Canis lupus familiaris: one gene and its partners. The protein of the gene in region 2 binds, or shares a complex with, the protein of the main gene of each other region. Links are inferred from orthologs where the notes say so. Each region holds a gene or a part of one and is shown on either strand. Other genes may lie near its edges. The genes, in order: EPC1, BRD8, RUVBL1, MEAF6, MORF4L2, ING3 and ANP32E.

Evidence for each region.
Region 1: BRD8 (region 2) and EPC1 share a complex: the UniProt entries of both Homo sapiens proteins name them as parts of the nuA4-related complex. The link is inferred for Canis lupus familiaris from reciprocal best matches to the Homo sapiens genes BRD8 and EPC1.
Region 3: BRD8 (region 2) and RUVBL1 share a complex: the UniProt entries of both Homo sapiens proteins name them as parts of the nuA4-related complex. The link is inferred for Canis lupus familiaris from reciprocal best matches to the Homo sapiens genes BRD8 and RUVBL1.
Region 4: BRD8 (region 2) and MEAF6 share a complex: the UniProt entries of both Homo sapiens proteins name them as parts of the nuA4 histone acetyltransferase complex. The link is inferred for Canis lupus familiaris from reciprocal best matches to the Homo sapiens genes BRD8 and MEAF6.
Region 5: BRD8 (region 2) and MORF4L2 share a complex: the UniProt entries of both Homo sapiens proteins name them as parts of the nuA4 histone acetyltransferase complex. The link is inferred for Canis lupus familiaris from reciprocal best matches to the Homo sapiens genes BRD8 and MORF4L2.
Region 6: BRD8 (region 2) and ING3 share a complex: the UniProt entries of both Homo sapiens proteins name them as parts of the SWR1-like complex. The link is inferred for Canis lupus familiaris from reciprocal best matches to the Homo sapiens genes BRD8 and ING3.
Region 7: BRD8 (region 2) and ANP32E share a complex: the UniProt entries of both Homo sapiens proteins name them as parts of the SWR1-like complex. The link is inferred for Canis lupus familiaris from reciprocal best matches to the Homo sapiens genes BRD8 and ANP32E.

What each region holds. Positions count from the first base shown.
Region 1 is NC_049223.1:12,483,755-12,487,796, reverse strand, and holds part of EPC1 (enhancer of polycomb homolog 1), read right to left. Parts: coding exon 3,959-4,042; intron 3,078-3,958; coding exon 2,918-3,077; intron 1,887-2,917; coding exon 1,710-1,886; intron 1,618-1,709; coding exon 1,528-1,617; intron 1,438-1,527; coding exon 1,289-1,437; intron 1-1,288. UniProt on the Homo sapiens protein: Component of the NuA4 histone acetyltransferase (HAT) complex, a multiprotein complex involved in transcriptional activation of select genes principally by acetylation of nucleosomal histones H4 and H2A.
Region 2 is NC_049232.1:25,848,629-25,852,670, forward strand, and holds part of BRD8 (bromodomain-containing protein 8), read right to left. Parts: intron 3,859-4,042; exon of another isoform or gene 3,468-3,858; intron 1,168-3,467; coding exon 886-1,167; intron 1-885. UniProt on the Homo sapiens protein: May act as a coactivator during transcriptional activation by hormone-activated nuclear receptors (NR). Isoform 2 stimulates transcriptional activation by AR/DHTR, ESR1/NR3A1, RXRA/NR2B1 and THRB/ERBA2.
Region 3 is NC_049241.1:2,138,858-2,142,899, forward strand, and holds part of RUVBL1 (ruvB-like 1), read right to left. Parts: intron 2,521-4,042; coding exon 2,457-2,520; intron 860-2,456; coding exon 661-859; intron 1-660. UniProt on the Homo sapiens protein: Possesses single-stranded DNA-stimulated ATPase and ATP-dependent DNA helicase (3' to 5') activity; hexamerization is thought to be critical for ATP hydrolysis and adjacent subunits in the ring-like structure contribute to the ATPase activity.
Region 4 is NC_049236.1:5,015,497-5,020,133, reverse strand, and holds the start of MEAF6 (chromatin modification-related protein MEAF6), read right to left. Parts: upstream 2,907-4,637; 5' UTR 2,846-2,906; coding exon 2,756-2,845; intron 603-2,755; coding exon 487-602; intron 1-486.
Region 5 is NC_049260.1:77,644,531-77,649,188, forward strand, and holds the start of MORF4L2 (mortality factor 4-like protein 2), read right to left. Parts: upstream 3,245-4,658; 5' UTR 3,179-3,244; intron 1,993-3,178; exon of another isoform or gene 1,782-1,992; intron 414-1,781; 5' UTR 325-413; intron 1-324. UniProt on the Homo sapiens protein: Component of the NuA4 histone acetyltransferase complex which is involved in transcriptional activation of select genes principally by acetylation of nucleosomal histone H4 and H2A.
Region 6 is NC_049235.1:59,197,418-59,202,130, reverse strand, and holds the start of ING3 (inhibitor of growth protein 3), read right to left. Parts: upstream 3,112-4,713; 5' UTR 3,050-3,111; coding exon 3,022-3,049; intron 2,775-3,021; coding exon 2,703-2,774; intron 1-2,702. UniProt on the Homo sapiens protein: Component of the NuA4 histone acetyltransferase (HAT) complex which is involved in transcriptional activation of select genes principally by acetylation of nucleosomal histones H4 and H2A.
Region 7 is NC_049238.1:60,124,231-60,128,272, forward strand, and holds part of ANP32E (acidic leucine-rich nuclear phosphoprotein 32 family member E), read right to left. Parts: intron 3,916-4,042; coding exon 3,740-3,915; coding exon of another isoform or gene 3,710-3,739; exon of another isoform or gene 3,695-3,709; intron 1-3,694. UniProt on the Homo sapiens protein: Histone chaperone that specifically mediates the genome-wide removal of histone H2A.Z/H2AZ1 from the nucleosome: removes H2A.Z/H2AZ1 from its normal sites of deposition, especially from enhancer and insulator regions.

The DNA of each region.
Region 1 (4,042 bases), on a different chromosome or scaffold from region 2:
TTCCTTCTTTTTTTTGGGGGGGGGGGGCAGGGGTGGAGGAGGTAGGAGAAAGCAGTAAATGGTATGCTATCTTTGGGATATTTTATAGCATTAAAATTTCTTATCGACAAAATATTTGAGATCTACTACTGTAGAAGATATATTTTTATGTTATTTATATAAACTTTATAAGTAATTCCATCTTAAAATACTAACAGCGACTAATGTTAGTATAGTATAAAATATAAATGACATGGAATTTTGGCTACTATTGATATCAATGTAATGACTGGGGGGAAAGCACTAAATAAAATAAATAATTTCAGTGTCCAGACAATTCTAAAGTAATTAAAAACTGCAATTAAGACTTGAAAATGAAAGAAACATACGTATAAAGCATTCATTAAAAACTACATCCTGGGATGCCTGAGTGGCTTAGCAGTTGAGTGTCTGCCTTTGGCTCAGGACATGATCCCGGGATCTATGTGGGATCGAGTCCCACACTGGGCTCCTTTTGGGGAGACTGCTTTTTCCTTTGCCTGTGTCTCTGCCTCTTTCTCTCTCTCTCTCATGAATAAGTAAATAAAATCTTTAAGAAACAAACAAAAAAAACCCTCTACATCCTCAGGTTTCTTCCTGAAAGCACCTTGATACTATGTTCTGCCTTTTTTCCCCTACCTATACAGGATTATCTTTCTTTTTCTTCACTTTTATGTGTTCTGTAATTCCTTCCTGCCTCCCACACAAATTCTCACACAAGGCATCTAGAGTGTACAGGGGGTACTATCATGTTTAAACAAAAGAGTGATTAGATCCTGAAAAACTGGGTGTCAACGTCAGACCATGCATGGATCCTGGAGCCTTTTTAAAAAAATATTTTATTCATTCATTCATTCATTCATTCATTTGAGAGACAGAGAGAGAGAGAATGAGTGCACATGAGCAGGGGGAGGGGCAGAGGGACAGGGCTCAATCTTATGACCTGAGCTGAAACCCAGAGTCAGATGCTTAACCCAGTGAGCCACCCAGGGACCCCTTCTAGAGTGTTTTCACTGAGAAGTTAAACAACCTAGTGTACTAATTACATGACATTTCTTAGCCTATTCAGTCCTTTCTTCTAATATGTGCCAGAACTTCTGAAACAACTTTTTGTAATCTCTTTTAGTATTTTAGTCAAAAAAATCATTTAAGAACAGAAAATGGAAACAAATGAGCTATTTAGAAGGATTCCCTCTCTAAAGCTCTAGATTTGATTACCCTACTGTCTTTGTCCCTACTGTACCTATGCTAGGAATACAGAAATAGTTACCTTCCACCACGCCCAACCCGTCTTCGTGTAAATCCAATACACCTCTGGGGTACAGTGAGGGTGGTTAAGCAGTATCTATATCGTACATCCCCTAATCCTCCATCTTTAGGACTAGTCCAAGGCCAGTTGCCAGTTTGGTCTAAGTGAGGCTAAAAACAAAAAACAAACAAAAAAATTATTTTATTTTGTCAGTTAAAGGCAAACAACTTATTATTTAAAAAAGAGAACCTGAAACTTACAGCATAGTACTGACAGCCTGCTTTCCTACGGAAAGCAAAAGGACCATCAGGATCATTTTCTTCTTCAGCTTCCGAAGAGCCAGACAAGACCTTTAAAATAAAATGAAGTGGGTCAAAACATGTGACTTCCTATGTCACTCCTTCCTTCTCCTCTATGCTCATAGAGAAATTTTTATCTTTACCTGGGAGAGAGGTTCTTCATCTGAGCTGGGAAAGTCATACTGATTTAAATCTTTAGCATTAAAGACGGGCAGTGCAGCAGGACTCGTCTGTTGAGGAGTAGCAGCAGCAGACGATGGTAAGACTTTGGGCTTCTTTTCATATTTACGTTTAGGTCGGATAAGATCGGCTTTATCTTGCTGCAATAAAGTCGTATGTTAATCAAACACTAGAAACCATGTTCAACAAACCTGCAGTTTGGGGTATGCTTTAAAAACAGGATTAGAGCTATAATGAAGTCATTCGCACTCAGAAGAGATCTAAGACGCCTATGTTTTGTCATCTTATATTGTAAAGTATTACAGGTTGGTTTCTGTGAAACATTGACATGTTCTTACAACCTAAACATCATCTCATAAAATATTTTGTTTCATTTAAAGTAAAAGAAGAGAGGTTCTTCAGCTTCTGAAATCCTGTAACTACAGTTAGTATTTATCATTGGTTCCTGTACCTTTTCCTAAATTTTCTATGAAAATTCTAGGAGAAAATAAAAAGGGCGGGGGGTGGGGGGAGGTCCTAGTCTTTATTCTAAAGAGTTAACAAATCCATTTTGGGAAAATAATAAAGCAAACAATCTTAATCTTATACACACACAAAGCACCTCAGATAACTCCTAATATGTAGGTGTCACAAAAATAAAGGGAAGTAAAGATTTGGCAGCTAAACAACAAAGGCTTTCTGGAGTGAATCTAGGCAGTTTTAGATGATACAGAGATGAAATCATTAAACAGGGACAACACAAGGATAAAATACAGAAGCAAGAGTGATTGAGCTGATAGTGCACGTTAGAAATATGTGTGCAGGTAAGAGCAAAGGCTAATTAAAGTATGAAGTGTATGACAGGTAAGAAAGGTTACAGGTAAAAATACCTGTTGGAAAGAAAAAGATCACGGCAAGTATCATGGCTGTGTACAGATACTAAATGTCTGTATCAAGTTTTATGTAGTTTATGGCATTACAGTTTTTTGGGGGAAAAGTTAATTCTTAAAGAGTTCATCTATACAGTATCTCTCTTTACTATTCCTACTGTTGTATTAACAGGTTAGTCTTGAATCAAAAGCGGACTTTGCAGCATAGTTCATGGTAGGGTTTATATGTATTTTTCTTTTTCACTCTAATGATAAAACAACATTCTATTACCAGCTACTATTATCATAAAAATTTTTATCACCTTATTTGCTTTGAATTCCTTCACATCCATTGCTTCCTGATGTTTAAACTGACTGCTATTAGTGATCGGGATGATGGGGATGGCATAAGTAGGTTTCATTGGCTGTCTCTGGGCCATAACCTCAGACACGATCTCTCCATTATAGTCACCCAAATTATACCTGAAATTATAGAAAAGAAAGCTGCAAAAATTAAAGTTAGTTCTGTAAATATTTAGGACTATTAAAGCCTGAGATACGATTATAGACACTGAGTAGACTGAAGGCAATATTAAACTTTGATTACTTGCTGAATGCTAATTTAAAATGAAGATTACATGATTCCTTCGGTTTCTTCCGTTACTTTTTGGCTTATAGCTTTACCTTTGCACCATAAATAGATAACTGTGGGGAAAAAAACAAAGGTTCAAATTTTAACTTACCAATTTTGGTGAAAGATTTGGTGGAGATATTGAAATTAATGCCTAAAATGGTGAAGAACTTTCTGCTAATTTGAATTGCCTGTACTATATAAAACTAATTTTCCTTAGATGAATTATGAGAAATTTAATAGTGGTTTTCTTTGGAGATAGTGACTAGGAAATAGGGAAGTGAGGCTTGAAGTTTTCATTGTGTATCTTGTGCCAAATCGTTGAGTGTTAAAATTATGGGCCTCTTCCCCTCCCTTCTTTATACTTCTGTTAAAAAACCCAGTAGGTGTTTAAAAAAAAAAAAAAATCAGTACCATCTGGTGAGTAAATGAAAAACTTTATAACTGACAAATATTCTCTCCCTCCCAACATTGCACTCAAACTCAAATAAGGACAAAAGAATAAGATTATACCTGGCATATTTTAATTTTACCGAGCCCTGTCTGTCACTTTTAAAGAAAATAAAGAGAGGAACAGATGTAAAATTATGCAAAGTATATCATATCACACATTTAATAATCTCTACTTATTATTAAAGGATGGTATTTCTAGGGTTAATTCATTAGGAACCATACTACAATACACATAATACTAACGGTATGATACAGCCGACCCTATTAAAGTATACTTTACCTCTTTTCCATAATTTCCAGTGTTAAGTGCAATAGCTCCCTTTTACTCTTTTCTCTTCTTTTTATCATCTCTAGAATAGTAACA
Region 2 (4,042 bases):
ACTTATTAGGAACCTAATGGTAATAGATATGGTTCTTGCCTCTTCAGAGAGCTTGAGTTCTAGTTTTTCATGTCACACGTCAACTTTGATCAATTGGGAGTGGGTATATAGAAAACTACTGAAAATTTTGTCTGCCACAGGCAATGCAGAAAGAAGTAACAACATGTTAAAATGGATTCTTGCTGATCTTGACCTAGGTTCTCCTGATGTGTGAAGTTGCCACATAAATATAAACTCTGTCCAACTCGGTTTATTTCTGGCCCTCAACTCTAAAACCAGTGTAATAAGGACACTGTAAAATAATGTCTTGAAGTCATAATGTTAAAACCTTCAAAGAGTGTGGATGTCACCTCCCAGGACTCCAAAAAATGAATTGCAACAGATATTCATAAGGCAAAACAAAAACAAAAGATATTCATAAGGCAGTCCTGCATATGGAAATTCTACTTCCTATGACCCTGGGCTCTTAATTAATTAATTAATTTTTTTTGGGGGGGGGCTCTTAATTTAGACTGAGATCTTAGAACACTTGGTCAAAAAGTATTCAGCACATATTTTGTATTATTAGCACCAAGTGCTACAGACACAGCAATTAGTTTCTGCCACTGTGGAGCTTGCATTTTAGTGAACAATATTAAGAGTAGTAGAAATATGTATGGGCAAGCACTCTCTTAGAAAGTTGAGACTTTTTTATTTTTTTTTTTAAGATTTTATTTATTTATTCATGAGAGACACAGAGAAAGAGAGGCAGAGACACAGGCAGAGGGAGCCCGATGCAGGACTTGATCCCGGGACTCCAGGACCATGCCCTGGGCTGAAGGCTAAACCACTGAGCCACCCAGGGATCCCTGAGACTCAACTTTGGAAATAATGGCTTCCCATTACCTCAGAGAGAAAATGGAGGAGATTCTGGCGGCTGACTTGCTCTGCCTCTTCCTGAGATTCCTCACTGCCTCCGTCCCCCACAAGCAGCTCACTAGGTTCTCTCCCTGGGCTGCTTTCCTCTAGTTCCTCAGCCCCTGGCTCCTCAGTTTCTCTCCAGCTGCCCACATCAAGATCCAGACTGGAATCCCATGAACTGAAGAGGGACCTGCAGTCGTTGCTCAGCTCAGAGTCATTGGGATAATAATCTGGCTCCGAATCGAACCAAACCCACTCATGCCCCATCTGTAAATACACAGAAAAATGCATTAAGTTCACTCATATTACAATTTCTTAGGCATTTTCATGTCTAAAGTTCAGTAGAAAGATAAGAGATCAGAAACTTCTTTCTACTCATCATCACACATAATAAAAGCTAGCTGAAGGGAGACATCAGGGGATGAAATCTTTGTCATTGGGAATAAAATGAAAAAGCCCCAAGTCAAACAGTTGTTTTTGTTTTTAGATTTTATTTATTTATTCAGGGGAGGCACAGAGAGAGAGAGAGGCAGAGACACAGGCAGAGGGAGAAGCAGGCTCCATGCAGGGAGCCTGACGTGGGACTCAATCCCAGGACCCTGGGATCAGGCCCTGAGCTGAAGGCAGGCACTTAAACTGCTGAGCCACCCAGGGATCCAAGTCAAACAGTATAAAAGAGGTATTACCCGGTAATTTTTTCTTGGGTTTCCTCACACTCCAAAAGAAAAGAACAGGAGCATATCTAGCTCCTCTAGCATAGTAGTTCCTCTATCCCAAATCACCCTTAAACTCAACTGGAAGACAATACATTTGAGGAACAAGAGCTATTTTGCTCAGTGTGTAGACATCTATCAACCACTAAGTCCTCAAAATATACTTTAAAATTATCTGTGGCATCCTTCTGGTCATATCCAACTCACTTCGCAGAATGAGAACTGTATCAAGTTTTAAAAGTATCTTCCTTTCCTCTCATTACACTACACGATCCTGTTTTTTTTACCCCTTTCTCCTATTTTTAAAGTAGGCTCAACACCTAGCATGGAGCCCAATTCATGTCCCTGGGATTAAGACCTGGGCTGAAATCAAGAGTTGGATGCTTAACTCTCTGAGCCTGAGAGGACTGCTCTTTTTCCTTTTACAAGTTTCAGTGTTCTTGCTTGTCCTTTGCTTCCTCATTAATACTCACTTAAAATAAGGTCTACGTTTTGAGGTTTCAACTTTGTTCCCTACTGGAATAGTTCTCAGATCTCCACCTTTACTTCTTATGTGCATTCTGGTCTCATTTTTCCATGCACCCAAAGGACTATTCCCTTTAGGTGCCCTACCATCTGCTTCAACTCAACATTTCTAACTAAAATCACTTCTGTTTCTATCTTAAAAAGCATTCGCTTTCTCAAATTCCCTTATCCCCCTTATCAACACTATTTTCCCAATTCTCTTTACTTCTCTTATATTCAGGAAGTAACCCCACTTCCCAATTTTCATCCACAATAATTTTTCTCAAAACCCATCCTCTGTTCTTGAATAAAATGTCATAGCCCCCTGGTTTCTGGATTTTTAATCCAATCTACCGTTAAGCATACCCGTCATGTTCTCTGTCAACCCAAACTCTATCTGCATCCTTTAATGGAACTCCTCTACAATCTTCTCCCATTTTTAGGGCTTCACTGCTTGTATCACATGCAAGTTTGTAGACTGCTTTGGGAATATATTGTACTTCCTTAAAGTAGTCTCCACTCCCAGAGTGGCACTCATTGAGGGGCTTGAACCTGAGATCAAGGCCTGAGCTGAGATCAAGAGTCAGATGCTTAACCGACTGAGCTACCTAGGTGCTCCTATGCTATAATTACTAATCTTTAACTCCTGGATTGACTGAATTCCTATCACCCCGTAAGACTATCTGCTACTGCCTTAGCATCCTAACAAGCTTCAGAGTTTAAGCCAGAAAGATCTGTGACTTATATTTCATAAACATATCTTTTTCAAGAAGGCTCAACATATGAGACAATACCCTATTAATGTCCATTTCTTTATAATAAAAGGCTCATGACTAGTTCATTTCACACAATTTTTATTTAGTAACAAAAACTGAAACTCAAGTAATAAATTTGCTAACTCTGAAACTGATTTTGCCTTCAAGTAGCAATGAATTCTAAAATACACAAGAACCCTACATAAAGGATGAGGAAGGAAATAGTGCTATACTGTCCTAGATATACCATCTGCAAAGATAGGACACTAAGTAGGACAAATGTCTGAGATAAAGGTCAGTGCTACTTATGTCCACGTTCTAATCTTCATTAAAAGCAATGCCATGAACAGAACTCTGAAAACATTTAAGTTTTCCCAAACATTCCAGAAAAACATATCATCCTCATTGCACAATGCAGCACTTTAGAACATTAGTTATAATTTCAATATTGATTACTTACCTTCTCCAAGCTGAACAGTTCATATCATAATACCACTTCCCCCCCAATCATCTTATTTCCACAGACAAAACAATTATCGCACAGAAAAAAAACCACAAGTTTTTCACACACACAAACACAGAACACACCAAAGGCTAAAGTTTTCTTTTCTCAGTTTATTGTGTATACATATACACTTCACAGGTGTTTTGTTTTTGTTTTAAAAAGTCTGTACACTTCACAAGACAGTACAAACTAGCTACAATCTGCTAGCTACGCATTAGGACATTAACACAGCCCATGATTTTTGCCCTAAAACAGGCAATTGTGCTACTTCAACTCTCTGAGAGAGTTTCCCCAGCTCATGTCACATGGCCCAGATGCCTCCTCTTCTGTATCTTCCACTTCTGGAACTGGGCCGACAAGCCCAAGCTCTTTCTTGTTTACTTCTACTTCAGGTTCAGCTCAATGAGGATACTCTGAAGCTTCACTTTTTCATCTTCATATCTGCTTCAATGGCACAGCGGCGCCCCCTGGTGCCCCCATCCTAGATGATAGGCAGACAAAGAAATTGAGCATGAGTGAGTTGATTAGAACCTGAGAGAGAAGTTTCAACAATGCTGGGGGATTTGGTTTCTTGGGGGAAGGAAGAGAATCAGCAGAAAAATCCAGGAAATAAGAGGTACAGATCTGTCTTCCCACAGAGTGGGCTAAAAATTCCTGGCAGTAGT
Region 3 (4,042 bases), on a different chromosome or scaffold from region 2:
AGGCAGGCGCTAAACCGCCGCGCCACCCAGGGATCCCCATTATGTTTCTTCATCTAAAACATGAAGCCAAGATTATTTACTGCCCAAAGCTAGCATGAGGATAGAAATTAACCTATGTAAGGTCGCCCAAGGCCAGCCTATCTGCCCTTACATTTGCCCTCTCCCAACTGAATGACCAAATCACACCGCACTGTAACCCTAGAGCCCACATGGGAGGCCCTCAGATTCCGTAATGTGGTTGCTGTTGCCTCTGGTGCCATGATGGAATGAGGCTGATGCATGAACTATCTACCTGTGAAGACAAGCTACTTTGGCAGGTTTCTCTCAAAATGAACATGATCTCCCTTCATCTCCATCTTGACTTATTACATTATGGGTTTAAAGTGATCCCAGAGGCGGGATCCCTGGGTGGTGCAGCGGTTTGGCGCCTGCCTTTGGCCCAGGGCGCGATCCTGGAGACCCGCGATCGAATCCCACGTCGGGCTCCCGGTGCATGGAACCTGCTTCTCCCTCTGCCTGTGTCTCTGCCTCTCTCTCTCTCTCTGTATGTGACTATCATAAATAAATAAAAATTTAAAAAAAAAAAAAGTGATCCCAGAGGAAAACATGAACCCAGATGGAAGGTGGAAAGGCCTTAAGGCTGGCAAAGAGCCACCCTACCTGATGACACAGTTGCCTCGGTTGGATGCAAAGATGACGATGGGGGCGATGGAAGATTCCAGGGCCCGGTGCAGGTAGGTGAAGCACTCTATGTCCAGCATGTGGACCTCATCAACAAAGAGTACACCTGGAACCAGCTCAGCAATGCCTTGATCAATGTACTTATTCACCACCTTGTTAATCTCCCCTCGAAGTTTGTCTAGGAGATAGTGAGAGGAGACAAGTATAGTCAGGTGGGGAAGTGGTCCCCTTTTCTTCTCTCCCCCAACCGAATATGATCCTAACTCAAGTGTGGAGCCCACTTGTACTGCTAACTATACGACCCAGGCAGGTTATGTCCCCACTTCAGTGTTATCATCCGGAAATAGGAATATAATCACCACATAGAAGTCACACAACCGGTAGCTTCCCCTGCTGATATGTTAAGTTTGTAAGTGGCTTTTATAGTTTTGCATGTCTTCACAAGGGCACACTCCCCAGCTGCCTTATTACTCACACCAACCCATTTAGTGCCCTGTGACATCGCAGAGACACAGAAGTTGAGGAGCCCTGTGTGAAATGAGTTTTCATATGCAAATTTTCCTGTTCTGCGCTAAGTGACCCTTTCTTTTGGCCCTATGTGACAAAGCTTAGGTTAATTAACTTTCAATCAAGTGCCTAGATGAAGAACAGGGTGTGTGCAGAATCTTCTCTGGAAGGAAAACTGTGAGGAATGCAGGTTCTGAGGAAAGGTCCAACCTCAGAGTTCTAGAGGGACGGGTCTCACAAGAGTTACATAAGACCATCTAAGGTCACAGTTCTCATTTTCCAAACCAGCTCCTGATTAGCATCAGGGGGGAGCTGCTCGCAAACACAGAACACGAAGATCTGATGCTGCATTGTCCACTAAACTCATGAGGCAGGGATGGTCAAAAGAGAACTCATGGTTAAAACTGTGAAAACACAGAAACTGCTCTTGGAGACTCTACTAGACAGGTCTCAGATCACTCCACTGGCTAACATGAAACAAAAAACAGAGGCTTTAATGTTTAACATTTTAAGGTGACAGAATTATAGGTAATACTTAGAAAAAAAGAGGGATGTACCAGTTGGGAAGAGAAGCAGGGTAAACTAAAGGTCCACAAGGGAACAGCGACATTCCTGCCAAGCTCTGGGACATGCCCAGGAAGCTGAGCCAGGCAGGCTGGGAGCTGCTTTGCGGCTGTAGGGCAAGAAGGCCAAGTACCAAGGTGGTGGAATTTGCTGTGCTCAGGAGCAGTCTGGCGGGAGTTCTCCTGCACAGCTAGGGCAATACCATCCATGTTTCTTGGACCTCGAAAGGACCAGAGGTTTTGGCAGCCTCCATCTTCAAAGATGAGTGCAAGGATACTGAATGCATTCAAGAGGATGCACTAGCACTCTGGGCTGGAAGCACACAGTATGCTTTATTTACAGCTGTCTAAAACAGCCACCGACTGCCAGGATAAAGCCAGGCTCTGAAAAGGAGAACGAACCTGTCCTAAGGCATTTCCTCAGGTCTGGGGATTCACTCAAAAAGCCTCACACACGGCAGCCTGGGTGGCTCAACAGTTTAGCACTGCCTTCAGCCCAGGTGTGATCCTGGAGACCCGGGATCGGGTCCCACATCAGGTTCCCAGCATGAGGCCTGCCTGTGTCTCTGCCCCTCCTCTCTCTCTGTGTGTGTCTCTCATGAATAAATAAAATCTTAAAAAAAAAAAAAAAAAAAGCCTCACACAGTACATCAGAATCCAGGGCTCTAGGGTTCTGGTTCTTGCTCACAGGCCTATTTCTCTTACCTGTGATTTCTGTCTTCTTTGGCTTCATTAACTGGCCCATCATGGACAGGATGTCTTGCCCTCCCTGCAAAACAAAAGATTCCCAGAGTCAGTCCAACTTTCTAAGGCAGCTGCAAAAGTCTCACTACCACCACCCCCATCACACTGTTCTTACTATCAGCTGGACACGGGGTCCTAGGTGTGGAGACCCCAGGCACCCTCACTGGAAAACGTGAGGAACTCTCAACACGGAGGAAGTTTTAAGAGGTTCCCCTTGGACTGCAAGAATGAGCACAATCCCTTCGTGGGAAGTACCAGTTCTGTGGGGCCTACCCCAATCTCCTTCTTCAGCCATATCCTTTGCCGATCCTGTATTCCCTGAGTAGCCACATAGGACCGTACTCTTCTCTGAACACCCATGTTCTTTTATGATTCAATGCTTTTGCATATTCTAGTCCACCTGCCAGGAAGCACGGTGTCTTTTCCAGGAATCTCTAGTTATCCATCCAAGTTCAAGTCAAACACCCTCATGGGGCATCTGGCCCTTCACTCTGCTGATGCTCCAGTTCCCTTGGGGACGAATGGACTGTTGAGGGAAGTGTAAGGACGTACTTATCTCTGTTCCTGCATCTCCTGTCTCCAGACTCGACTGCACAGTCACATTAATCCCATCCTGGTCTAGAGCTGCTTGGTCGGGGAAGCCAATCCTACAGAACAGCAGGCTGCTAACAGGCTCACCACCTGCTGCACCCTCCTGCCAGCCCTTCCCAGTGCAGTCAGCAAGAAGAGGTGCTCTTTTGTCACCTGCCTAGCATTTTGTGATCCTGTTTTGCCAGGTGCTGGGTCACAGAGGTGCTCACTAAATGTTTAGTTGTAAAATGTAGCAGATGTTTCCTGAGAAACTACATCTGATCCTACAGGGTAGGCACTATTTGCCCTCTTCACAGAGAAGGAAACTCGAAGCCAAAGAGCCCTAAATCACAGAAAACTCAGGGAGGCAAAGCAACTAATGGACCAAGCTCATCAGTGTCGGAATGACACAATCCCCGACTTCCAACTCTCAGCCAAACACTCCAACCAAGGCGAAAGCTCCCAGGAGGCTGCTTTGGGGACAGCTGTTCCACACAGAGGGACCTGCTGGTCCAAGACAGTTCTTCAGCAATGTCTTGGCCAATGCTCGAAGGGGCAAAACACCCAAGGATCGAATTTCAAGTAAGAAAGCCTATTCCCTGCTAGTAAAGAGGAGGACTCTTCCAGGATGAAGAGGAAATCAAACTGAAAGACTACCAGCAGGGAAGACTAGGGTTTTAAAATCACACATTTTGCAGAGGTGTCACATAGTCATACTGTTCTTCTCCCACATTTTACTAGTCAAGGTGTTAAGTTTTCATCTTGCCAGCATGAGGAACAGACACAAATCCTGCTCAAAGCTAAAACACTAAAGAGTTTGCTAGAACAGGGGGAAAGGCACAGCTTTGTCGGGCTTTCTGAAATCCTGCAAAGGGCTCAAAGAACACTCCTGCCCTACACCATTAACACCCAGAGAATCCCAGGCTTGAGCCCGCTGCTTGGAGGGAAGCCACAGAAGAAGCTGGCTAACTCACGGC
Region 4 (4,637 bases), on a different chromosome or scaffold from region 2:
GTGGCAACATGTTAACAACTGATGAAAGCAGGTCACGGGCATCAAGTGTGCACAGTACTATTTCAATGTCAAACCTGAAGATGTTTAAAACGTTTAGACAGTTCTAAATAGTTATCACTAAATTGTAATATGGTCAGCACACAGGGGTGGCAAATACTGTAAAGGTGAAACTCATGACTGATTAAAAAAAAAAAAAAGGGAAACACTAAAAAAGTGATACGTCAGGTACTGTCATTCGCTGTGTTTGGTTTATGCCTCACACCACCCTGTACCACCGGCCCAACTTCCCCTGTTTCCCAGATGTAGGATTTGTCCACAATTACTCAGTGAGGCAGAGGCTGAGCCAGAGTCCACGTTGGACCCCAGATGGCTTTTCACACCACCGCTTTACTGCCGCCTCCCTCCAAAGCTGCTACCAAGAACGTAGATAATCGGAAAAATAAATAACGACTGGGGGCACAATACCAACAGGCCTGTGACACTCACTTTTGGTTGGTCAGGTACCGATCCCAGCCGCGGATGATATTGCCGTACATCTGAGTGTCTTCCAGGTAGCTTCCTTCAAAAGCATAGATCTGTCTCTCCAAGTTCGCCAGTGTTTCCTGGGAGACGGGGGAAAAAACAAGGACATGGATGGATAATACCTTTTAAATGCAAACGTTAATTCCGACCAGACCAGACCCTTAGTATTAGCCCGAGACCTTCGAGGTCCCCTATAGTAGAGACCATCCAGGGAGGGGAAGGGAGACCAGCTGTGGGGAGAGGAAGGCACTTTTAGGTTAACACTGTGCAAACCTTAGACCTGTCTTGCTGGAGCCCTTTGGGAATAGAAGGGAATGAAGAGAGCCTGTGTCTTGCCCCCCCCCCCCCAAAATGTGCAAAATTTTGCATATGCTTCAGAGGGTTCATGGCAGGGCAGCTGTCAAGAGTTTCCCCCCATCCCTGGGTGGCTCAGCAGTTTGGCGCCTGCCATTGGCCGAGGGTGCGATCCTGGGGTCCCGGGATAGAGTCCCGCGATGGGCTCCCTGCATGGAGCCTGCTTCTCCCTCTCTCATAAACAAATTTAAAAAATAAAAAAATAAAAAAATCTTAAAAGAGTCCCTCCCCGCCCCCCAAAAAATGTGCAAGATTTTGCATATGCTTCGGAGGGCTCCTGGCAGGCCAGCTGTCAGCAGGACTTGAGCAGCCTCCACGCCCACGCACAAAGGCGCTGCCGCTGCTGGCGCGAAAGGGGTGAGCAGCCCCCCAGCCGCAGCCCCGGCTGTCAGTTGTCATGGAAACCTGCAAGGGCAGCCGCAGGTGAGCCCGCCTCGGCGGTGCGCGCGTCGCGGGGAGGGGGCCCGGAGCCTGGGGGAGCCAGGGCACAGCCTGAGTTGCCGGCCGGGTCGCGGGCCTCACCTGCCGCCCCCCCCCGCGGAGCATCGGAGGCACCCCCCCCCCCCCCCGAGCCCCGGGACCTAGGGCCTTACCTGCCCCCCCCCGGAGCATCGGAGGCACCCCCCCCCAGCCCCGAGACCTCGGCCTTACCTGCCCCCCCCCACGGAGCATCGGAGGCACACCCCCCCCCCAGCCCCGGGACCTCGGCCTCACCTGCCCCCCAGCATCGCAGGCCCCCCCGAGCCCCGGGACCTCGGCCTCACCTGCCCCCCAACATCGCAGGCCCCCCCGAGCCCCGGGACCTCGGCCTCACCTGCCCCCCCAGCATCGCAGGCCCCCCCCCCCCGAGCCCCGGGACCTCGGCCTCACCTGTCCCCCAGCATCGCAGGCCCCCCCGAGCCCCGGGACCTCGGCCTCACCTGCTCCCCCAGCATCGCAGGCCCCCCCGAGCCCCGGACCTCGGCCTCACCTGCCCCCCCAGCATCGCAGGCCCCCCCGAGCCCGGGGACCTCGGCCTCACCTGCTCCCCCAGCATCGCAGGCCCCCCCGAGCCCCGGACCTCGGCCTCACCTGCCCCCCAGCATCGCAGGCCCCCCCGAGCCCCGGACCTCGGCCTCACCTGCTCCCCCAGCATCGCAAGCCCCCCCGAGCCCCGGGACCTCGGCCTCACCTGCCCTCCAACATCGCAGGCCCCCCCGAGCCCCGGGACCTCGGCCTCACCTGCCCCCCAGCATCGCAGGCCCCCCTGAGCCCCGGGACCTCGGCCTCACCTGCCCCCCAGCATCGCAGGCCCCCCCGAGCCCCGGACCTCGGCCTCACCTGCCCCCCAGCATCGCAGGCCCCCCCGAGCCCCGGACCTCGGCCTCACCTGCCCCCCAGCATCGCAGGCCCCCCCGAGCCCCGGGACCTCGGCCTCACCTGCTCCCCCAGCATCGCAGGCCCCCCCGAGCCCCGGGACCTCGGCCTCACCTGCTCCCCCAGCATCGCAAGCCCCCCTGAGCCCCGGGACCTCGGCCTCACCTGCCCCCCAGCATCGCAGGCCCCCCCGAGCCCCGGACCTCGGCCTCACCTGCCCCCCAGCATCGCAGGCCCCCCCGGAGCCCCCCTCCCAGCGCACCGCCCCCGAGCCCCGGGTCCGCGGGAGGCCCAGCGCACAGCCGCCCCCGCCCTGCCCCCGGCCCCGCCGCCAGCCGGGCCGCTCGGGCCGCTCGGGCCGCGGAAGGCGCAGCCGCCCCCAGGCCTCCGGGCTCCGGGCTCCGGGCTCCGCGCTCCCGGCCGCGGCGCCGGGGGAGTAACGGCCGCGGCGCGATCGGGCCGGGGCCTGGGGCCGGGGGCGGGCGCCGGGCCCCGGAGGGCCGCCCCGCCGCCGGCGCCTCACCGCCAGCTCCTGCTTCCGCTTCACCAGCTCCGCCAGCTCCCGCCGGGTGTCCGGGATCTGCGGCGGCGCCGCCTTGTTGTGCATCGCCATGTTGGGCTGAGGCGGCGGCGGCGGCGGGCTGGGGGCGGGCCCTGCGCGCCCTCGCCGCCAGGGGGCGCCCGCGCCGCACTGCGCCTGCGCGCGGGGTCTCCGGGTCTCCGGGGCGCGCGCCGGCCCCGCCCCCTCCCGCCGGGGCCCCGCCCAGGTCTCCGCCCTCCTCCCGCCCCGCGGAGCCGGGTCCCGAGGGTGCGGCCGGGTGTCGCCCCGGTGTAGACCTCGCCGCGGCCCCTCGGAGGGCAGCGCGCGCAGGGCCGAGGTCACGACCCGCCGGGGCCGACTCCCCCGCGGTCCAGGCCGGGCCCGCGAAGTGCAGGTAGTAAGAGGGCTTACCGGCGCCTTGGCACCTTCCAGGGTCCTGCAATGTCCCCATCACGACCCGGATTTTTTTTTTTTTTTTTTCATTTTTCATCCCCCCCCACCCCCCACCCCCGCCTTGCTTGGAAGTCTGGGCTTCTACAGCCTGTGGGTCGGTGATCTTCCCCTGCTTCGGAGACATTCTCATCTTTAGGTATTCCTGGGCCTCACTTTCCTCTCCTTCTGGAACTCAAATCAAATGTAATAATCCTTTATTATTGTTTTTCACCCACTGGTTTTTTTTTTGTTTTGTTTTGTTTTTTTTTTTGGTCTCTCTGCTGCATTCTGGATAACTTCTCTCCTGTGTTGATCTTGTAACCTGAAATCTTGCTGAACTCCCTTATAATTCTGGGAGGGTTTTATTGCAGATTCCTTGATTTTTTATTTTTTGATTCTTTGATTTTTTTTTTACGTGATCTCATTTGCAAATAAAGGTGGTTGATTTTTTTTTTTTTTTTCCTTTCCAATCTGTATGCTTATTTCTTTTTCTTGCCTTACTGTGCTGGCCAGGACTTCCAGTTCTACATTAAGAGAGGTCACAGTCTTTCACCATTAAGTACGTTAGCTATACTGTTTTTCTAGATGCTCTTTATTAAGTTGAGAAAGTTCCCCCTCTACTTCTGGCTTATTGAGAGTTTTTTTTTTTTAATTTTTATTTATTTATGATAGTCACACAGAGAGAGAGAGAGGCAGAGACACAGGCAATGGGAGAAGCAGGCTCCATGCACCGGGAGCCCGATGTGGGATTCGATCCCGGGTCTCCAGGATCGCGCCCTGGGCCAAAGGCAGGCGCCAAACCGCTGCGCCACCCAGGGATCCCGGGCCACCCAGGGATCCCTTATTGAGAGTTTTTATCATGAATGGGTATTGAACTTTGTCAGATGCTTTTTTCTATGCCATTGACACAATCATTTTTTCTCTAGTGTCTTGGGATAGTGGATTATCTAGATTTATTTCCATTATGAACCAGTTTTGCATATCTGGGCTGAACCTCACTTGGCCAGTGTGTATAATTCTTTATATATATATTTTTAAGATTTATTTATTCAGAGAGAGAGAGAGAGAGAGGCAGAGACACAGGCAGAGGGAGAAGCAGGCTCCATGCAGGGAGCCCAACACAGGACTTGACCCCAGGTCCCCAGGATTACACCCCCCGCTGCAGGCGGCGCTAAACCGCTGGGCCACCGGGGCTGCCCTGTATAATTCTTTTTATATGGGCTGGATTCAATTTGCTAATATCCAGAATTTTTGTGGCTAAAGTTTTGGGGATATTAGTCTGTAGAGTTTGGTTCTTTTCTTTTTTTGTACTGTCCTATTTGGCTTTGATATCAAAGTAATAGTATTGCCTGATATTCTAATTTCTGGCAGAGATGGTATAGAATGGTGGTAATTTTTCTTAAAGTTTGGTAGGTGTCTTCAGTGAGACCAT
Region 5 (4,658 bases), on a different chromosome or scaffold from region 2:
TCAGTATTTGCTCTCAACCATTAAATTATGTTGTACATGAGATGCCATAAAAATTTCAAATATATATATATATATGAAACTAACTATAGGGTATCAAGTATAATATCTTTTATCAAAGAATGTAAGATCATACAGTCCTCTGTTGTTTGGGTCCTTGCTATACTGGAATCACCAGTGGACTTAGCTTCATCTTTCCCTTCTTAGAATTTAGAGTGCTTTCCCAGATAGGGGCTTATTAATCTTCAAAATATTCCTGGACAGTTAGGAAGGTTATGCGGAATTATCTTATTTGAAAATTGAGACCAGGAGAAGGGAGGCACTTACTCAGATTCTGTAATCAGGGATGGTTCTGCAATCAGGATCAGATCTTCTGATCCTTATTATACAGCAAACTTAGCTTTTCTGATGTTGGCCTGGAAGGTCAAAGAAGGGGACAGAAAAGGACATAAAGTAAAAAGATATGAGATCCTTTTTTTCTCCATCAACCAATGCATTTTATCACACACAAAGGACACCACTGCTGATAAATAATGTACAAATGTGTCTTTTTCCTTTTTTGTGGTTATATTTTCAAATTTATTGTACATTTATCCTTATTTTTGATAAAGTAACTGTATTTTTATACTTTTTAATAAGGATAATTTCAAATGAATAAAAATGTAGAAGGAAGAGTATTATAAACCTATACCAATCACCCAGCTTCAACAATTACCAACTGAAGGCCATCTTGCTTTATCTATAACCCCACCCACTGCTCCCCCCACTCCGATTTTTTTTAAGCTCACTGAATAGCTGATTTTATGTATTTTATTACAGAAAATGTCAAACACATACCAAGGATGACGGAATAATAAAAGGAACCTCATATGCCCCATCACTTAGCTCAAACAATTATTAACTTAGGGCCAGTTTTGTTTCATCTATACCCTTCCCCACTTCCCTCTACCGCTGAGATTATCTTGAAGCAAATCCCAGTCATCAACGTATTTGAAGTCATTCTCCGACATTTTATTACTTAATCCACAAATATTTTCCTATATACCTCTACAAAATAAAGATAATTTGAAAACACAACCATTAATGCCATTATAACGTCTAAAAAATTGACTTCAATTCCTTAAAAAAAAAAACACATCAAATCCATTTTCAAATTTTCCCGATGCATCTTAAAGTGTTTTTAAGTTGGTGTGTTCAAATCAGGATCCAAACAAGGCCTACTCATCGCATGTGGTTCATCTCCTCATCGCTCTCGTTCTCCATCTCCCCCACCCCCCGCCTTTTAAACTTTTCAATATGGAAAATTCCAATCCCCGCTATTTTGAGCTAATTCTCAAATAGTAAATTATTTCATCGGCAAAGATTGATATGTCTCTTTTAAAGCTCAAATTTCTTATAAGAAGAATCTGATGAGCAGAAAAAGCACTGTAATGAACAAATTTACACAATTTGTTTTTTTTCTCATTCTATTACGCGGGTTTTTCACTCCACAATAATAGCGAATATCTTTCGGAACCAGGATTGGTATTAAGCGTCTTATACGCACTAATACACAGTACAAGCCTCTGAGGTACACGTCTCTGAGGTAGATACTATCACTATCACCATTTTACAAACATGGAAACCGAGACACTGAAAGAACAGGAGCCAGCCCAAGCTGGGCGTTGGCGAGTAGGAATTTGAAAGCAGCTCTGCCCAACTGTGAAGGCACTACTTAATATTGTCAATATATGCGACGATAGAAATAAACCATAAACCCTTTCACCCCACCCCCACCCCGAAACCTGAAACGAGAATCCAGTTCTTTCCAGCAGCCGACGTGTGATCACTGCCGTCCCTCCAACCGCCATAGTAAAGCCAGGTTTCTCTGGCAACTGATATCCATAGGCAGACACGTCACCCTGGAGGCGGGCTTATGGTCTCCAGCCAATGATAATCGTCTTGTCTAAGTTTTAGAATGTTCCATAACCAAATGATTGGACGAAGCCTAACACGTCAGCGATGACTCTTCGCCGCAGTAAAGGCGGGTGCTAGCAACCTGCTTCTTCACGGTTAAGGCTTGAAGCAAACCAATCATCTTTCTGCTTTAGAGAAGGCTCTGGCCAATGACGCTTGCCCTCTTAGGTTCTTAGCCCGCCCTTCAAAAGCGCGACAGCCGTTGGGTCATAAGTCTATAGGGCAGGGTGTTCACGTGGCCTATTTTCACGACCCAGAGTTCCCCTGGCCAGAGTTTTTTTTTTTTTTTTTTTCCCCTGCAGGGAGGCATTATGGGTTTTTTTTTTCCACTGGGAAAGGAAGTGCCTACGTGGCCTGCGGAAACAGGATGGGCGGAAATGAGCTAAGGTTCCCGCGAGTGGGGAAGCGCGAGGTCAAATTTGGGGCCACGCCCCCAACCTCTTGCGCAACTATCGGAGTGAAAAAGAAAACAGAGCGGGTGTTTTAATGTGTGTACAAGCTGGGGTGGTGGGTGTGTGTGGGCGTGGTGTTGGGGCCTCTGTGTGCGCGGGCGAGCTCCCGTGGCCTTGAGATTGGGATGTGCGCGCGGCAGCCCTCGTGGCGTTGGAGGTGGTGTCTGTGCGCAGGCGTGCGCCCCTAGCGTTGAGAGACAGCGTTGGGGTCGGCGTGTGTCCTGGAATCCGGGCGTGCGTGTATGCGCGCGCACATGCGTATGTGCATGTGCGCGTGCACGCGCGCTGTGTACAGAATATTCTCTACTTTTCTAGAAGTTTGAAAATTGTTCTAATGAAAAATAAAATAAGTCAAGGCGACCATAACCAATAAAGAGCATTTGCCAGGAATATTTTTACCTCTCCTAGCGATTTAATTTCAGACCGTAAAAATACACTTGCTTCCCACGTTTTTTCTCTTGCCAAAATCCTGTTTTAAACCATAGCCGTCCAAAAGGTAAGAGTCAAACGTTCCCATCTTAGCAATTCCAAAGAGCAGCTTTTTTTTTCGGTTCCCTAGTATCCTCTCTCCCCCCTCCAACGTTGCCTGCCATTCTGTTGGCACAAACACAATTTTCTGCCTCAAATATCTGTATGTGATAACCTTCCCCTTCAGTTTCTCTCTCTCTCTCTCTCTCTCTCTCTATATATATATATATGTATATATATATATATACACATACACACACACACATAGAGACTCTCAATTTCTGTAGAAGCTGAGGCTCTCTTACCTTTTTGTTTTGATCTCCAAGCACAGTGCCCTTCAGGCAAGTAGCACTCAGCTAGTTTTCCAGAAAGTTCTCTGGGTGAGGTTTATACCTCCTGAATCTGCCACTAGATGCCACCAAATCCCAGCAAAGGATTGGCTGTTAGTCCCTGGAATCCTGGGATTTTTCCCCCCCTTTCTTTTTTTTAGATTTTTTTAAAAAATTTTTATTTATTTATGATAGTCACAGAGAGAGAGAGAGAGAGAGAGGCAGAGACACAGGCAGAGGGAGAAGCCCGCTCCATGCACCAGGAGCCCGATGTGGGATTCGATCCCGGGTCTCCAGGATCGCGCCCTGGGCCAAAGGCAGGCGCTAAACCGCTGCGCCACCCAGGGATCCCTTTACCCCCCTTTCTGATTTGTTGAATTCCACAATGTATAGAGGTCATGTATATCTTTCATTGCTAAGGAAAAATCAAATTAACATTTGTAATTAGCCCAACCAGACAGAGAACTATAGCTCTAGATTCATATGTTTTTCCTTATTTCTTCTTTAAAAAAATTCTCCCCTCCAGCCCTCTTTCCTTTCTTCCTTGCCTTTTTGTGGGGTCAGAATTGATCAATGACCCCAGGCACTGATGCCCATGAAGATCTGAATCTTTTCTGTGCATCTTTTCCAATGCTAACAACACTCCCCAGTGGAAAATGTAGGTGGATATTTAGTCAATAAAGACAGATAAGAACTTGGACCCTGATATTGAAAACTGATCTTTTTCTCTTCAAATTTTTATTAAATAAGTGTGTTTGCACCCTATTTTTTGTAGTGGTACTGCTACACTTTGTTATGTCTTTGGAGTTAGAGACTTAATTTTAATTCCCGGCTTACTAGCTGTGAGACCTTGAGTAGACGATTTATGTTCACTGATACTTAGGTTTTTGCATGCTTTCTATATTTTAGATCCTGTGTCATATCCTATACATGGATATTCTTTTATTCCTCACAAATTCCTTATTAGATGGGTGAATAAATAAACTTCAAAAAAACAAAAATTAATATTTTTAAATTATCAATCATATACACTTGTGTGCATGCATGCATGTGCACACGCACACACAGAGGGGTGAGGGCCGAGATTTGTTTTTATATTTATTTATTTATTTATCTATTTTTTTTATTGGAGTTCAATTTGCCAACATATAGCACAACACCCAGTGCTCATCTCATCAAGTGCCCCCCTCAGTGCCCGTCACCCAGTCACCCCCAGCCCCCGCCCACCTCCCTTTCTACCAGCCCTAGTTCGTTTCCCAGAGTTAGGAGTCTCTCATGTTCTGTCTCCCTTTCTGATATTTCCCACTCATTTCTTCTCCTTTCCCCTTTATACCCTTTCACTATTTTTTATATTCCCCAAATGAATGAGACCATATAATGTTTGTCCTTCTCCGATTGACTTATTTCACTCAGCATAATACCCTTGAGTTCCAACCGTGTATAAGCAAATGGTGGG
Region 6 (4,713 bases), on a different chromosome or scaffold from region 2:
AATAATCATCTAATTCCATGTCTGCTAAAAAAAGAAAAGTGAAAAAAAATGATTCTGTTGCTATATAAGTGAAGGAAAACCGTCTGGAGATTTTTCAGGGCAATAATACAATAGGTTTTTCAAGATCCTAAGAAGTCTTAGTTACTTTTTAAAAAAATTTTTCCTTTGTTTAAATAAGCAATTTCTAACTTGTTTTACAAAGAAGTCTCTTTTATCAATCTATAGGATCTATTAACTTTAGAAAATTCTAGTTGTTATAAAATGCAAGTGTATAAAACCTCTCATCTGGGGCGCCTGAGTGGCTCAGCTGGTTAAGCACCTGCCTTTGGCTCAGGTCATGACCTCAGGGTCCTGGGACTGGGTGCCCCCAACCCCAGTCGGCTCCCTGCTCAGCGGGGGAGGCTGCTTCTCTCTCTCCCTCTGCCCCTCCCCTGCTCGTGTGCCTGCACCCACGTGTGCTCTCTCTCAAAGATTTTAAAGAAAATCTTTAAAAAACATAAAAAAATAAAACCTCTCATTTGTATAATCCAATTACAAATCACAAGAGAATTTAAAATTTGTAATGATAACGAAGCAAAAATAAGTCACCTTTTCGTGAACTTCTGCTTTGTATCAGATACTATAAATTCTAGTTTAACTGTGTTATTTTAAATCCTCAGATGATCTCCATTCTATAGACAAGGAAAACCCCTCAGAAGTGGTAATGCGGTCAAGGTCAAAGAGTAAGTCAGCAAAACTCTAATACGAACTCGGATCTATCTGACATCAAGATCTGTGCTCAGTCCCATAGAAAACGCTACTTTAGCATTTCAACTACATGACAGTCAAAATGAATTTTGTGGGCAAGCTAAAGAAACACACAGTTCAGACTCCTACACTATGACCCACTGAACATAAAGAAGGCTTCCGTAGCCCATCACCTTGTATGCCGCATGGCCACATGGAACGCACCAGAGGCTCAGGAACCTATATTCATCACCCGTGGGTATGAAAGCGTGGGGTGCGAGTGTGGGGTGGGGAAGCACGGGGGAAAGGACAGGCCCTCAGGAGCTGCAGGATCCTCAGGGATGCTGGGTCTCTGATTTCTTTCCATGATACCCTTTTCCCCCCAGTCATACCCCCAAACCCAGATCCTCCTCCACCGCTACTTTTCGAGGACAAAAAAAAAAAAACCTAGTGGCATGAGAAACATTTTACGTAGATAGCCTAACCACAGCTAGAATAAATGGGATCAAGGCACGTATTTTCTTGAGGACAGACCGCATGAAGGCCAGCCATTAATATCAACTGCACAAGTTTTTTTGTTTTGTTTTGTTTTGTTTAAAGTAACAAATGCAACTTTAATTGATTTCTGGATAAAAACTACTCAGTGCAGGTCAGTAACCATGGCAGCCCCTGCTCTGTTGGAGCCATCTTCAGGCTCCAACAGCCTCCAAGACCATCTGTTGGACGGTCTTCAGGACCTAGGTCAACGGGCTATTTGCATTATCTCATGTCATCCACAGTATTAGAAAAACATTAGATCAATTTAGACGAGATGCGCTGCTGGCAGCCAAGCCTACATCTACAGAGAGGGTGACATCCGGGCTTAAGCGCACACCCCATTGTACATTTTAATCATGTAACGTAAAAAAAAAATAAAATAAAATAATCGTGTAACGTGTAATTCATTCCGCACTCGTAGTTCACAGTATGGTATCCCTGCAAGAGAACCGGAACGGCTGTATTACATTCATTTCATAAAAGGGGGAGAAGGCCTGTGAGGTTCTTTCAGAGCACGACAGGCGTAAATTCGTACTCGTTTTAACTGTGATTTTGCTCCAAGTGTTGACCTCCTCGTTTCCAAGGCACTGACTCTTTCCTTGCTTTGAGTCAAATCCTTCACAAAAACAAAACAAAACAAAACAATCGGATAAACCAAATACTGCTCTATGAAAGAACAACGGTTAATTTTTTTTGGGGGGGTGGGTGGGTAGGGGGAAGGAACCAGACTACCAAGCTACCACTGATCGATGAGAAGTCATCACTTTTATTGCAACAGATAAGCAGCTTTACAGGAAGGTCTATTTTCCTCACTCGTTTTCATGGGGGGGGTGGGGGGGGAATAGCATCATCCTGCTGGCGGGTGGGAATGCATCCTGCAAGGTGCGGCTTTGCAAGACTCGACATTCCAAGTTCAGCGGGGTCACTAAAGAGCCACACCAACCCCCAGGCTGCTGGGTTTTCCGCTCTGCAGAAAATTCTGAGCAGAACCAACTTCAGCAGAAGTCTAAATGCCGAAATCTACGTTCCGGACGCAAGGGCTCGGGCCAGAAACCACCATCTTCTCCACACCTACACCGACGTGCGTTAAAAGCATGTGTCTACGTCCTCCCCGAGGCACAGAAACTTTTATCCCAGTCTTGAATTCGGGAAAGAAACACACACGCGGGCCCCAGCGCCTCCTCCTCGGGTAAAAGCAAAGGGGGAAGCGGCGTGGACAGCAAGAGGCAAGATGCGGCACTGCCTTGTGTATGTGTGTGTGTGGTTTTATGGTTTTGGGGGGGTTTTTTTGGCGTTTGTTTTTTTTTTTTTTTTTTTTTTAAACGACTCCTTATGCACTAGCCCGTGAGCCGGAGGAGAGTCAGAGAGCAGAGGCGACGACGTCGGTGGAAGGTCTGGCCCCGACCGCGCGCGGCCGGGCGGGCGAACCGCCGACTTACTCTGCACCTGCAGGTCCATCTCGCGCATCTCCGTGAAGCGGTCCCGCAGGTCCATGGGCAGCTGCTCAATCACTGTCAAAGGGAGAGGCCGTCAGCGGGGCGGGGCCAACGGCGAAGGGCGCGCTGACGTCACTGCGTGCGTGCGTGCGTGCGTGGGGGGGGCGAAGGAGCCGGCAGCCCACAGCCCGGCTGCCAGTTACCGTGAGAAAGAAACATCCCCCGCCTCCCCCTCCCTCCCGCCATCCCGCCCGCCCGGCCGCTCGCGCGCCCGCCCGCCCGCGGGTCCCCCAGGCGGCCCCCGCCAGCGCCGCCCACTCACTTTCCAGATAGTCCTCTAGGTACAACATCGCGGCCCTTAGAGCTGGGGCAACGAGGGGGTCCAGGGGTTTATTTGTGTCACTCGCTGTCGCCGGAGTTTTGTCCCTTCCAATATGGCGCCTCCGCTAGCAGCACCCGCTCGGCTTCGGCGGAAAAAAAAAAAAAAAAAAAAAAAGAAAGAAAAAAAAAAACCACTTTGGCGCCTGACGGCGCTTGCCTCACTGCCGCCCGGAGCCGTCATTGGCCGGCTGGGGCGATGACGTCAGCCGGCCGGAGTCCGCCCGCGCGGCTTTGTGGGAAGTGTAGTCCGGTTCCCCCCCACGGCGAGGATCGGCGCGCCCGGCGGTTACCGGCGTGGCAACTACGAAGACCAGGCGGCCTTGCGCCCCGTGCGCCGCGGAATCCGAAATGCGGTGCCTCTGTTTATTTGTTGATGCCGGCGCGGGGCATGACGGGAGTTGTAGGCGCCCGCGGAACCCAAGTAGGAGCAACTTTCCACCTGTTCCCGGCCGGCGTGCCTCGGTGGCCCCGGCGGCTGGGAGTCGCGGGTTTCCAGGCGGGCGGGGCAGGTGGAAGGTGTTCCAGCGCCGGAACGGCCAGCGGAGTTCGGGCGATCCGCATTGTGTAAGACAGAACTCCTGGCTGGAACGCATCCTTAGTCTCCGACTGCTCAAAATACCCACGAGGCGCCTGCTTGGCTTTCCTGCACCTGGACGGGTGGCCGCCCTCCACGCGCTCTTTACCTGCTTTTATTCCGCGGTCCGGCTCGTCGTCACCGTGATGTCATCGAGCTGAACGCACGAAGTGCACCCACCAAAAAAAAAAAAAAAAAAAAAAAAAAAAGCAGAACTAGAGAACAAGCAGAAATAACGGATGGAGACTTGCTGCTGTCGAATGAGCTGTTCTAAGAATGACTTCAGGCGGTGTTGAGTAAGCAGCCCGCCCCCAGCTGTCTACACCCGCGGGAGGGGTCATCTTCTACCCCGGGACCCCTTCCCCGCCCCGTGATGGATTCGGTCCTTCACGGCTCAGTTTTCTTTTTCTTAAGAACATCTGCACGCAGCACAGGTCGAGAGCATCTTTCTCTCCCACCTGCCTTAGCTCTCTGTTCGTTTTCCTGGGAAATGTGTCTTCAGTTCGCCATTCAGTGTTCTATTTTCACTTTTTTTTTCTTTTTTTTTTTTTTTTTTTCAAATTGGAGTCGAGACATTTGATGCATTTTTGAGTTTTCTCCCTTCCGCCCTCTTCTACCCAAGACTTTTTCCACCGCTCATGGTCAGGATGCTCACCTGTCGTGTTGGTGAATGTCAAGGGAAACCCACCTCAATTCTAATGATTACCTAGTTTACTTTCTGTACTTTTATCTAAAATCTAGGATTTTCGGGTTTCCTCCCTCCTACACTCCCTTCTTCGTTCCTTCCTTCCTTCCTTCCTTCCGGCTGCCTTTAAGATCTCTTGGATATTTCTGTGGTTTCTCAGTGGTGAATCTAGGTCCATAGTCATTTCTTTGTTTCCTTCCTTCTTACCATTCAAAAAAAAAAAAAGTTCAAACCATGCTTAGGATTTGAAAGGAGTGCTGACTCTCAGCACTAGTGTCCTGCGGTGAATGTAGAAAATTCTCAACCATTGCCTCTTCTGTGTTGCTTGTTTTCTGTTTTCTCCATTATCTCTTAGAATGTCCATGGGACATCTC
Region 7 (4,042 bases), on a different chromosome or scaffold from region 2:
TGCCTCTGTGTGTGTGTGTGTGTGTGTCTCTCATGAGTAAATAAATAAAACCTTAAAAAAAAAATACAAGGAGGGGAAAAAAGTAAAAATGAAAACATAAAAAGATACAAGGAAGAAAAGGAATAAATGGGGTAGGCCAATAATATAAAAAGGAACCACAATAAGGGTACAACAGGTGGCTCAGTCAGTTAAGTGTCTGTCTTCAGCTTGAGTTATGATCCCAGGGTTTTAGGATCAAAACCCACATCAGGCTCCCTCTCCCTCTCCCACTGCTTGTGCTCTATCATATATATATATATATATAATTTTTTTTTTTTAATAAAAAGGAACATAGGAACACCTGGGTGGCTCAGTTGAGCATTTGCCTTTGGCTCAGGGTGTGATCCTGGGGTCCTGGGATCGAGTCCTGCACTGGGCTCCCCAGAGGAAGTCTACTTCTCCACTTCTCCCTCTGCCTACATCTCTGCCTTTCTCTGTGTGTCTCTCATTCTCAATAGCTAATTGCTTCTCCAGATTTTTAAACAAAATATGGGGACACTTGGGTGGCTTATTGGTTGAGCGTCTGCCTTTGACGCAGGGTGTGATCCCAGAGTCCTGGGATCGAGTCCCATATCAAGCTCCCTCCATGGAGCCTGCTCCTCCCTCTGCCTATGTCTCTGCTTCTCTCACTCTCTCTGTGTCTCTCATGAATAAATGAATAAAATCTTTAAATATATATATATATGGTTACATTAACTGATTCACATTTTTAAGCCTTTTTTTAAATTGAAATATAGTTGACACACGATGTCACCTTAGTTTCAGGTGTACAACAGGGTGACTCAACAAGTCTTTACCTAAAGCTATGCTCACTGCCAAGTATAGCCATCATCTAAGCCTTTAGTTTTTAATATCATTTTAGATAATATCCCTCAATAAAAACTCTGCTTTCACCAAAGGCTTATTCAGTAGAAACTATGGTCTCTTCCTAACTAATGGGAAATCCATGTTTCCTCACTATACTATGTATAGTACAGGAGCACCACTATTTCCAATTCTTCTAAAGCCTCCACCCCCATTTTTAATGAAGTGTACTACACAAACATAAAGTCCATCTTTTTACATATTAATTCCTTACCTCTGAAGAGTAACTGAAATAAAAAGAATACTCAAACCAAAAATAGCTAATCAAATCCCATTTCTATCTCCTTCTACTTTCTTTCTTGAATCTTGATAGTCTCGGAAGCTTCTACTGACTCTCACCTTCTAAACATAAGGTTACAACACAACTAATTAAAAATATTAAAAACAGGGAGCCCCAGTGGCCCAGTGGTTTAGAGCCGCCTTCGACCTGGGGTATGATCCTGGAGACCTGGGATGGAATCCCACGTCAGGCTCCCTGTTTGGAGCCTGCTTCTCCCTCTGCCTGTGTCTCTGCCTCTCTCTCTCTCTCTCTCTCTGTGTGTGTGTGTCTCCCATGAATGAATAAATAAAATCTTAAAAAAAATTAAAAAATAAAATAAAATGGTATCAGAGAAAAATTATCACTGATCAGGGATATTATCTAACCAATGTAAAAGTCCTTAGGAGAACAAATAAGAATACTAATAATTTCTAGTCTAAATTAGAGATATATTTTTTTCGGCTTTATTTATTTATTCATAGAGACACAGAGAGAGAAAGGCAGAGACACAGGCAGAGGGAGAAGCAGGCTCCATGCAGGGAACCCGACGCGGGACTCGATCCCAGTTCTCCAGGATCACACCCCGGGCTGCAGGCAGCGCCAAACCACTGTGCCACCGGGGCTGCCCTAAGTAAGAGATATTTTTAATAAAAAACTCTGAATTATGCAAACAAACTCAGTAATTTAAAAACATTAGGAGGAAATAGTAATTCCCAGGGGCAAAAGATCATTTATTCAAGTCAACTGACACTTCCTGTGAGCTTACTATGTCCCTGTTAATGTACTAGACACTGAGATATAAAGACAGATGACCCTCCCTTTATGGAACTCGCCATCTAGTAGAAAGTAGCCAAGTAAACAAGTTTTTACAAAAGTATCTATGAGCAAGAGAAGACTAACCAAGATTCAAAGGTAACGAAGGGGGATGCCTGGATGGCTCAGCAGTTGAGCATCTGCCTTCGGCTCAGGTCCTGATCCTGGAATCCGGGATCGAGTCCCACACTGGGCTCCTTGCGGAGAACCTGCTTCTCCCTCTGCCTATATCTCTGCCTCTCTCTCTCTCTCTCTGTTTTTCTCATAAATAAAATCTTAAAAAAAAAAAAAAAAAGGTAATGAAGGAAGGAGTATAAAAAATTATAGATAAAGTTTCAATAATGAGGCAACTCCAGAACTGAGTCATGATTTGGGTGGTAGTCATACAAGTATACACATAAGTAAAATGTGAACTTGTACATAAAATCCGTGCACTTTACAGGCTTTAACTATATTTATGTTTACCTCAGTTAAAAAAAAAAGCATTCATCAGAGAGCATGAGTAGCAAGTCATTTCAGATTAAGAGTAAACAATGTATCTTCAGACAGAAAGGCAAGAAACAGCTTAGTGTGAGGATTTAATTTAAAATTGAGGGGGATCCCTGGGTGGCGCAGCGGTTTAGCGCCTGCCTTTGGCCCAGGGCGCGATCCTGGAGACCCGGGATCGAATCCCACATCGGGCTCCCGGTGCATGGAGCCTGCTTCTCCCTCTGCCTGTGTCTCTGCCTCTCTCTCTCTCTGTGTGGCTATCATAAATAAATAAAAATTTTTAAAAATAAAATAAAATAGAATAAAATAAATAAAATAAAATAAAATAAAATAAAATAAAATAAAATAAAATAAAATAAAATAAAATAAAATAAAATAATAAAATAAAATAAAATAAATAAAATAAAATAAAATAAAATAAAATAAAATAAAATAAAATAAATAAAATAAAATTGAGGGAGAAGAGGCTAGAGAGGCAAACAGGGACTAGATAGTGATGGGTCTTGTATATATTTTGGTGGCAACAGGGAAACATTAAATTGTTTCAAGCAGGGCAGTGATATGATCACATTTGCATTCAGACTAAGCAAGCAAGCACAGACTGTGAAGGATACACCTAAGTGGTGACACTGTATTTAAGAGGCCATTTGGAAAACTACAACAAAACCATAAACAAAAAATAATTAGAGGGAAAGTGTTGCTGAGGGCCTACGATGTGCCAGGGACTAGATAATTTACCTATATTCTCTTGTTAAACCCTGAAAAGAGCCTAAGAGGTTGATATTATTTTCAGTTCTATAAATGCAGAAGCTGAAGCTCAGAAACTTTTGTAAAATGTTTCCATGAACCCTGCTGCTCTGGGCAGAATGGATTTTCAAGATACCTAGGTGGTAAAACCATAGGTGCTTATGATGATCTGTATACAGTTTTGTTTTTTTTTAATATTTTATTTATTTATTCATGAGAGACACACAGAGAGAGGCAGAGACACAGGCAGAGGGAGAAGTAGGCTCCATGCAGGGAACCCGACGTGGGACTCGATCCCAGGTCTCCAGGATCACACCCTGGGCTGAAGGCAGCGCTAAACCGCTGAGCCACCCAGGCTGCCCTAGATACAGTTTGAGCCAGGGGACAGTAGGAAAAATGACAGATAGACACGCTCAGACCTGCAAGTTAGTAACAATTTTCAGATTTCTTCACAACTGAACTATTTATAGACCTTGGCTTTATGCCTAAATAATTACTTTATTTAGTAATAAAGAAATGCCTATTCACCTGGATTTCTTCTTTCATTAAATATGATAGGCCCACTTCCTCTTCTCCCTCTCCCAATTCCGAGCCCGCTTCATCCTCATCCTCATCCTCATCCTCCTCTTCTTCCTCCTCTTCTTCTTCATATTCTTCAGGTGGACCAGCTTCATCTTCTTCCTCTTCATCATCTTCATCTCCATCTTTAAAAATATTTTAAAAGATGAGTGAGTGGCTGAGCAAATGTTTCTTGCTAGTACTTTAAGCCTATCTGCCCTTGCCCCAATCACTTCAAACTCTAAAGCCAATGGGAAGGTGGAAACTATCTCA